Sus scrofa: one gene and its partner. The protein of the gene in region 1 interacts with the protein of each later gene in a biochemical or structural test. Links are inferred from orthologs where the notes say so. Each region holds a gene or a part of one and is shown on either strand. Other genes may lie near its edges. The genes, in order: ARFIP2 and ARF5.

Region 1 (4,380 bases):
AGTAACAACTTGGGGGAGTGGTTAACGTTCTAGAACACCCAGAAGTCCTATAGGTTTCATCTGTCTGGGGCTACTGACTTTCGAAGAGGTAGTGCCTAAAAGCCCTGTGGTTTCTTAATCCATGGTCCTTAATATCTCTAAGCGAACCATTTAAGTCAGACAGATTTAAGGACAGAGTTCCCATTTTCTCTGCCGTCTGGGCACGAACCAGCGTCTTGTTGCCAATTTTAAAGCTGTACCCACAGACCTTCCTTTAACCAGGTGCCTGGGAATGCTGAGGTTTTCCTTCCACACACAGAAGGCAACTTCTCCCTGCCCAGAATATCAACCGCACAGATTACAGCAGGTTTATTAGCTCCAGGAAAAGGAGCAACAGTACCTAGCTCTCAGGCAACTCCTCATTCTCTACATACAGGCTCCATCTTGCCCAAGGTCCACTGCTCCTTCAACGTGAGGGTCCATCCAGTGCCTCCCTTCTCAGCGTTGAGGACAGCTAGCTGCCAGATGGCGAGGCTTCTGGCTGTTCAGCAGCAACACCTGGCACAGCTGAGGCAGCCTCGTAGTCAGCGATGCGGCGCTGTACCAGGGCAGGCATGAGCTGCACGTAAGCGGCCATGAGGCGGTGGTTGGAATGGATCAGCTTCCCGGCACAGCTGTGCAGACAGGCCTCCTGGAAGGAAGACAGGGTGGAAGTAGAAGCCAAAGGTGTCCAGTCAGGTCCGTTTCCCTCCTTCCCATCCCCAGCCTCAGGGCGGAGGTCGTGGGAAGCCAGGGCCGGACGTAGGGGAATTGACGGGAGAGGGAAGCAGTGCACGGTTAGCTCTGAGGCTCGAGGAGCACTTCCCTACTCAGTTCCCCCACCTAACCTCCTCGGCATCCAGAGCTCGGTGATGCAGGCTGGGCACGCAGCGCTGGAAGCAGAGTTCCGTCATCCGATTGTAGACCAACAGGAAGTCCCGCAACTGGGGAGGAAGGGGGACAAGGAACTCAGCGAAGAGGGGGCCACGTCTCAACTCAAGGCCGCGCTGCCGGCGCTTTCCCAGGACCGTGTACCACGGCCCGTGGTTCCCAGCCCTTGGATGCCTGGCTCTCTGGGGTTTCCGCCATGCGAACAGGGATGCTAGCTGGATGCAGGGCCCTTAAGCGACTTAGCTCCCACTCACGTTTCTCAGCTGCTGCTGCTGCTGCTGTTGCTGTTCCATCACGCCGCCGGCGCACAACCTACGTCACTTCCGTTACAGCTTCTAGGGAACGCCCCGGAAGTGACCTCAATGGCTCCCCAGGGGCAGAGGGGTTGGCTCAAGGAGCGCCCGCCCACCTCCCCGCGACGTCACTTCCGCCCTCATAATCGGCTACGTGGCCGGCTTCTTCTGCCCGGGAGAGGACGTCACTTCCGCCGAGTCCCTGACCTGCTGCTAGGATCGCGACGGGAACTGGATCCCGAGATCCCCGCGCGGCCCGGGCCTGGCGCCCTGAGGGGAAGAGCGGCCCGGCCCGAGGTGAGAGGGACGTGCATGGGCGAGGGCAAGGTGAACGCACGAACCTGACCTGAGGGCAAGATGCTTCTGAGCCCTGGGAAAGGATGAGGACACACCTGACGCCCAGGTGTATGGGGGGAGGGCGGAGACTCACACACCTGGGGAGACCTAACTGACTTTGGAAGGGATCACCTCCCTATGTCCTGGGGCAAAGGGACTTTTCCCCGGGGTCGGGAACTTACACCAACTGATTCAACTAAGGCCTGGGGCGGGGGTGGGGGCAGGAAGAGGGGGTGCATGGGATGGAGGAGGGGGAGACCACCTGCAGGAAAGAGGAGGAGACATTAGAGGAGTGTGAAAGGCCAAACAATGGCGAACATACCTGAACGGGGATAGGCACCTGAGCGCTGGGAAAGGGATTGTCTCCTGATGAGGAGGAATACCTGCGTGGGGATAAGCTGCTTGAGAGCACAGGCTTTCTCTCCATTGCCTCAAATAGTGCGTGGCATGTAGTAGGCACTCATTAAATGTCTGTGGAAGGACTGAATGCATGAATGATCCCTGGACTGCTGGGGGGGTGGGGGTGGGGGGGTCATGAGAACATGACCTCTGGTCAGGCACACCTGAGGCCTGGGTGCCTGTGTGTAAAACTTTGCACCTTGGAAGGGAGAAAGACAAAGCCCCGAGGGAAGAGTGGTGGGCAGACCCCACCACACTGAAGCCCCGGGACGGCCTCTGCAAGGGCAGGGGAGACCTTCCTCTTCGGAGAACTGGCCCGTTTCCAGAACTGTCTGTGTTGGGCTTTGCAGGGCGCTGGGGTGGAGACTTTGACTCCAGTCCCTTCGCTCGCCATGACGGACGGGATCCTAGGGAAGGCAGCCACAATGGAGATCCCCATCCACGGGAATGGTGACGCGGGGCAGCTTCCTGAGGATGATGGGCTGGAGCAGGTGCTTCTGTTTGATTCTTCACATTGTTTCAGTTGAGGAATCCCAACTCTTAAACCCTGAGCTCTCTCCTTCTTCCAGTAGCCTTCCCCCAACTCACCTGATTTCCTTCAGTCTTTTTACCAATCTTTGTTCTGATTCTGTGCAGACTTCCCTTGTGTGCTCTCTCTATGATGCTTCAATCCAAGCTTGTTTTCACCCCCAAAATGCTTCAGCTGCCCATATGTTCCTGAAGCCCCCCTCTTCTCTGGCCTATAGGACCTCCAGCAGGTGATGGTGTCAGGACCCAACCTCAATGAAACCAGCATTGTGTCTGGTGGCTATGGGGGCTCTGGTGATGGACTCATCCCCACAGGTATGAATGATCAGAGCAGGATAGGGCATTGAGTGGAGAGGGGAAGAGGACTGGCTCCAGGGGGCATAGGATACGTCTAAGAAGGCGTGAATCATGTCTGGAGCTCGTGGGAACCTCTGCCAGGATGAACCCGCGGGCATCTCAGCCCAAGGCCCGTTCCCAGGGGTGTCCATCTGCCTCCACTTGCCACTTTGTCCCTCAGATATGCCCACTTGTCCCTTCTCTGCCGTCACTACCTGAGTCAGGCAGAGAACTCTGTTCACCAGGCCTCCCCTGCTCTGGAGCTTGAATCTGATTTGGAGCTTTGAGAGGCTTATCAGAGTCTTACGTTAGACTCTGCTATTTAGAGGAACAAGCAGCCCTGAATCTCGCAGTGACTGGGATCCACATGGGAATGTCAGCCAGGTGTTCGGTTCGAGGGGCGCCCAGCCATGGTCAGCGACCCCATTCTCAGCCTAGTCTCCGCTGTTTCCTCTGCCCCTGCACACGAGCAACCCCTCCCACCTCCCTTTCCAGTCCTCACCTCCACGTCAAAAGGAGGCCAGGTGTATGTTGGGATTGGGTCTCAGGGTCCAAGGCATGAATTCCTCCTAGTGAGTCTCCAGCCCTGCTCCTTCCGGGGCGTCATTTTCATGTGCTGGGAGGGAAGTGTGGGTGGAACCACAGAGGCGTCGGATTGTGTCTGAGAGAGGCTGGTGTCAGAGAACTTGGTCCTTTAGGGTCTGGCCGCCATCCATCTCACAGCGCCCCTCCTGCTGGCCCCGGGGATGAGGTGGCCCGGGGCATCGCTGGAGAGAAGTTCGACATCGTCAAGAAATGGGGCATCAACACGTATAAGGTGGGATTCACGCACCTCCTCCGCCCCCTGAGCTCCCCCGGGTACCTCTTCCCCATCTTGCGGATCCTCCTGTCCCATCATCTCGGGCTGAGACTTGGAGTCTGGGGACGCCGGGGTAGACACTTGCTGCGGGGCAGGGCCGGGCGCCAGGGTCTCTGACCTGTTCCCCCACTTCCCACTCAGTGCACAAAGCAGCTGTTATCAGAGCGGTTTGGCCGAGGCTCCCGGACTGTGGACCTGGAGCTAGAGCTGCAAATTGAGCTGCTGCGTGAGACGAAGCGCAAGTATGAGAGTGTCCTGCAGCTGGGCCGGGCCCTGACAGCCCACCTCTACAGCCTGCTGCAGACCCAGCATGCACTGGGGGATGCCTTTGCTGACCTCAGCCAGAAGTCCCCAGAGCTTCAGGTGCCTTGGGCAGGCCAGAGGGGGAGGGGGGCCTGGGCCCGGGGCCCTCCCAGGCAGTCACCCCTCAGCCTCCCTCCTCCCTCCCTCCTGCAGCCCAGAGGGAGAACCCCTCCAGGGTGGGCCCAGCCCCGCCCCCAGCAGCACTCACCAGTGGAGGCAGCCTAAGGGTTTGTACGGAGGTCCAGAAGTCGGAGGGGGTGGGGGAGGCGGCACACTAGGTGCCTCGCAAATAGCCCTTCTCGGCCTCGGCGAGAATGCCTTCGGTGCCCAGCCTCATCGGAGCCGCTCCCTTGCCTGCTGCACTGGCTTGCCCTCTTCCAGTCCCGTGAACTCCGAGAGCCCCGCTCCCACGTTCCT
Region 2 (4,433 bases), on another chromosome or scaffold:
CAAAAATTCAGGTACATTATCTTATCATCTCATTCTTCACTGTAACTTGGGACAGATAGTCTCCTTTTATAGATGAGAAAATGACAGGTTGTGAGTATTGTTGAATTTAAGCCCTCAAAAAAAAAAAATGCAGAACTGAGATTCAAACTGAGGCATGGAACAATGGCACTCAATAAATATTTGTTTAATGAGTGAAGGAAGGAAGGAACGTTCTCTGATTCCCAGCTCACCTCACCATGTCCAGTCCATAGGGATTGATTCTAGAAGCCCAAAGGGAATCCAGAACAGGCAAAAACACCTGTCCATGCTCCACTGAGCAATCAGTTAGTCCATTCAATCCAGCCAGCATTTGTTAAGCATATATTAGGTGACCCAGTCTCCACCATAAAAGAAATTTAAATTAATTCCTATCTTGCTATTTCCCCTCAGATGCTAAGGTGAGTGGGAAAATAGCTCATGAAGCTCTTCAGCCTTACAAAATGCTAGCTAGCTATGCATTAAAGGTGCAGGTTGGAGTTCCCTTCGTGGCTCAACAGAAACGAATCTGACTAGCATCCATGAGGACGCAGGTTGGATCCCTGGCCTCGCTCGGGATCCGACGTTGCTGTGAGCTGTGGTACAGGTCGAAGACAGAGCTCCATCTGGCGTTGCTGTGGCTGTGGCATGGGCCTGCAGCTGTAGCTTTGATTCGACTTCCATGCCGCCGGTGCGGCCCTAAAAAGACCCCCCCCCAAAAAAAATAATAAATCCAGGTTCCGCTTTTCAAACTGAGGAAGGAGCTTCAGAAAGGTTGCCTGGTTCGATTGAAAGGCATTGTTTCCAGGGCCATCGAGGCAAGGCAGAATTCTCCAGTATGCAGGAGTAGTATCTACTACCCCACCGCCTAGAACTGGAGATCCTCCACTGGTTCTGCTGCAGGCGTTTTAAGAAACCATGAAGGGCATCTTCTTTCACCTCTGGCGCATTCCTCTAGAGATTCTAAGGTCACTGAAGCACCTGCCACGTTCAAAGTCCCTGACTGGGAACTGAGAAGACAAAAGGAAGGACTAAGACACCTGCGCGGAACTGCCGCTTCGGGGCGTGGGGGGGGGGGGGTTGGGAGAGGGAGGGTGCACAAAGTCGAGGCACTCATTACCAAGAGCTAAATCGGAGCCTAGAGTGGATTGGACGGACCAAACCAAAGCCCAGCGGTCAGCCAGTGAGGATGGGGATGGAGGGCCGTTATGGAGCTTTGGAGGCTTTCCTTGATCCTGCCCGGGTTGCGGATTCAGCAGCCACAGATCTTACAGGCACGCCAGAAACAGGGGGAAGGCCCAGACCTTTTCCATCTCTAAAGCCAGCGCCGAACCAGAGGCTCGCAAGACGGTCAGCTTCAGGGTCTCCCAGGGCCAGGGCCTGGAGGCGGGGCGGGGGCGGGGCTGAGGGCTGTGTTGGGGGCGGGGCCATGGCGGGGGCGGGCCCGAGGTGACGTAGGGCGGGCCGGGACGCGCGGAGGCGGCGGCGGCACCTCCTCCTCCTGCTGCTGCGCCCATCCCCCAGCGGCCGGCCAGTTCCAGCCCGCACCCCGCGTCCGTCCCCGCGCCCCCTCCCCCAGGCCCCGCCATGGGCCTCACGGTGTCCGCGCTCTTTTCGCGGATCTTCGGGAAGAAGCAGATGCGGATCCTCATGGGTGAGGCAGATAAAGCGCTCGGCCTGGACGGGGAGCGCCGGCCCCCACGCAGCTCTCCTGCCCCCGCGTCCCTCCAGCCCTGCTCACCCGGGTCTCTGACCCCGAGTCACCCCCGGCCTAACTCCCCGGGACCACTACTCTCGGGTGGGTCGGGATCTGCAGCAGCGCTCCTGGGGCCTGGGACCGGGAGCTGCGGGCCTGGGTGGAGTGAAGCTCCCTCCTCCGCCCCAGCCCGGCTGGTAAGAAGGGAGGATTCCGTCCTTGGAGACGACTTTTAAAAGGAGCACGACCCTCCTCTGGCACCTCTTACCCCTCAGTCTTCTACCGCCCCTCGCGCGCTCTGAGGGCTGGACTTGGCGCCCACCCCCCAGACTGCGCTCAAGGCCGCGAAGGTAGAGAACAGCGCGCACCTGGAGGTGCTCGGCTCTCCGCCCCCGTCACCATCAGCTGTCCTGGCCCGTCCCCTTCCCTGGGCTCTAGGGGGCTCCCTTGCTCCCATCTCCATCCCGGTGCCCTTCTCCTTTGCAGTTGGCTTGGATGCAGCTGGCAAGACCACAATCCTGTACAAACTGAAGTTGGGGGAGATTGTCACCACCATCCCCACCATAGGTGAGTCCGGAGGCGCGGTGGGGAGGAGCGGGAGCGCGGCGGGAGGGCCTCCTCAGGATCTGCTCCGCATTCTGCCGAGGCCCTTATCTCGGCCCCAGAGAGCTGACCGTGACATCAGATGCTGCTACCTGAGAAGTGGGTCACGGTATCTTTTCATGCAGGATGGTGCCCAGGCGGGATGGATGTGACCGAGCCCCGCCCCTCGGTGCCTTCTGGCTTGGGGTCCCTGCTGAAACCACATCGTTTTGGTGAGTTCCTCCCTTTCAGGACTTTTTCCTCATATTTTTTTCCAATTATCTGCAGGCTTCAATGTGGAAACAGTGGAATACAAGAACATCTGTTTCACAGTCTGGGACGTGGGAGGCCAGGACAAGATTCGGCCTCTGTGGCGGCACTACTTCCAGAACACTCAGGTTGGGGCTCCCCCAACCCCAGTGGAAGAGGTGTTAGGGGTAGGAAGATGGAGGTGTTGGCCTAGGCCAAAAAAAACCTCTTACCCCCTTCTACCCCCTTGTGTAGACTAGCCTCTCCTTATTCTTCAGAAATGGCCTCAGTCTCTTGAGAAGCAGAATTCTGAATCCAGGCTGCCTCACTCCGCTCCCATCCCATGTCTTTCCTTGTCCCGGTGCACATCATTCAGCCGGTCCCCTTGGCTGAGGGCAGAGGCCGTATCCTAGCAGAGTGTCTCCAGTTTGTGCTAGGACGTCTCCAGAGCCACTGTGTAAGTTTACTAGATGAGAAGGGTTTAGACACCATTAAAGATGGACATGGAGGAGTTCCCTTCATAGCTCAGTGGTTAACGAACCCGACTAGCATCCATGAGGTTGCACCTAGCATCCATGAGGTTGCGGGTTCCATCCCTGGCCTCACTCTGTGGGTTAAGGAGCCGGCGTTTCTGTGAGCTGTGGTGTAGGTCGCAGGTGCGGCTCAGATCCCAGGTTGCTGTGGCTGCGGCGTAGGCTAGAAACTGCAGCTCTGATTTGCCCCCTAGGCTGGGAACCTCCATATGCCACAGGTGCGGCCCTAAAAAGTTAAAAGCAGGGTCAGAGGGCAGAAGAGAGGAGGAGCCAGACTAGGGTGTGGATGTCCCAGGCGTGAGTGATTGCTCCTCTTTCCTTTCTTCTTCCCACCCAGGGCCTCATCTTCGTGGTGGACAGTAATGACCGAGAGCGGGTCCAGGAATCTGCCGATGAACTCCAGAAGATGGTGAGCACTCAGAGCGCCCACATTTCTGTGCCGGTGTGACAGATAGAAATGCCTCACGGGCCTTGAATGTGGGTTCCGCTTTGTGGACACACTCCCAAGAAGTAGTGCCTCCCCACTTTGAATTGGGCCCGGGTAAAAAGTGTGAGACTTGACTTTTTCCTGGAATTCTCTCATGTCTTCCCTTCTGAGTCTGAGAAGCCGGTAGAGGGAGGGGAATTGTAGGTGGTGGAGAGAAGCATCATCTTACGTTCTTGTTTTTTTCCCTGTGGATGACTTTGACATTTTTAACTGGAAGGGTACTCTCAAAAAAGGCCTTTTCTGGATCTAAGGCCAAGCTGATTTATAATTTGTGTCCTGTGTTCAGCCATAGATGACACAATGTTCTGTTTTCCCTGCAAATAGACTAGAAGATAGAAAGCAGGATTCCCATATGCAGCTGGGAAAAGGGAGCCTGGGGGCCCCCAGAGACCCCCCTCAGATGCCATCGCCTCTGCCTTCTCTCAGTTGCAGGAAGACGAGCTGCGCGATGCGGTGCTGCTGGTGTTTGCCAACAAGCAGGACATGCCCAACGCCATGCCCGTGAGCGAGCTGACCGACAAGCTGGGGCTGCAGCACTTGCGCAGCCGCACGGTGAGGACCTGCGTCTGCTCGGGGGAGCCCCAGGCTGGGCAGGAAGGAAAGGCATCGCCTTTCTTCCCTGCTTCTGACCTGTTTCTTTCCTTCTCCCCACAGTGGTACGTCCAGGCCACCTGTGCCACACAAGGCACAGGCTTGTACGATGGGCTGGACTGGCTGTCCCATGAGCTGTCGAAGCGCTAGCCAACCACAGGCCAGCCCCTGCTGCCCGGAAGCTCCCGCGTGCACCCCGGGACGACCAGACTCCCGGACTCCTCAGGCAGTGCCCTTCCCTCCCAGCTCCTCCTCCCCCGCAGACACAGGCCTCTGCGCC

The links.
Region 2: the proteins of ARFIP2 (region 1) and ARF5 form a complex in vitro, tested with the Homo sapiens proteins (2 studies listed by BioGRID). The link is inferred for Sus scrofa from reciprocal best matches to the Homo sapiens genes ARFIP2 and ARF5.

The regions. Positions count from the first base shown.
Region 1 is NC_010451.4:3,248,667-3,253,046, forward strand, and holds the start of ARFIP2 (arfaptin-2), read left to right. Parts: upstream 1-1,344; 5' UTR 1,345-1,499; intron 1,500-2,287; 5' UTR 2,288-2,329; coding exon 2,330-2,428; intron 2,429-2,683; coding exon 2,684-2,780; intron 2,781-3,499; coding exon 3,500-3,618; intron 3,619-3,801; coding exon 3,802-4,023; intron 4,024-4,380. Other genes in the region: TIMM10B (mitochondrial import inner membrane translocase subunit Tim10 B), read right to left, coding at 494-670, 867-962, 1,164-1,202. UniProt on the Homo sapiens protein: Plays a role in constitutive metalloproteinase (MMP) secretion from the trans Golgi network. May have important functions during vesicle biogenesis at certain cargo subdomains, which could be predominantly utilized by secreted MMPs, such as MMP7 and MMP2.
Region 2 is NC_010460.4:20,695,749-20,700,181, reverse strand, and holds the start of ARF5 (ADP-ribosylation factor 5), read left to right. Parts: upstream 1-1,546; 5' UTR 1,547-1,602; coding exon 1,603-1,669; intron 1,670-2,197; coding exon 2,198-2,278; intron 2,279-2,581; coding exon 2,582-2,691; intron 2,692-3,412; coding exon 3,413-3,484; intron 3,485-3,988; coding exon 3,989-4,114; intron 4,115-4,216; coding exon 4,217-4,303; 3' UTR 4,304-4,433.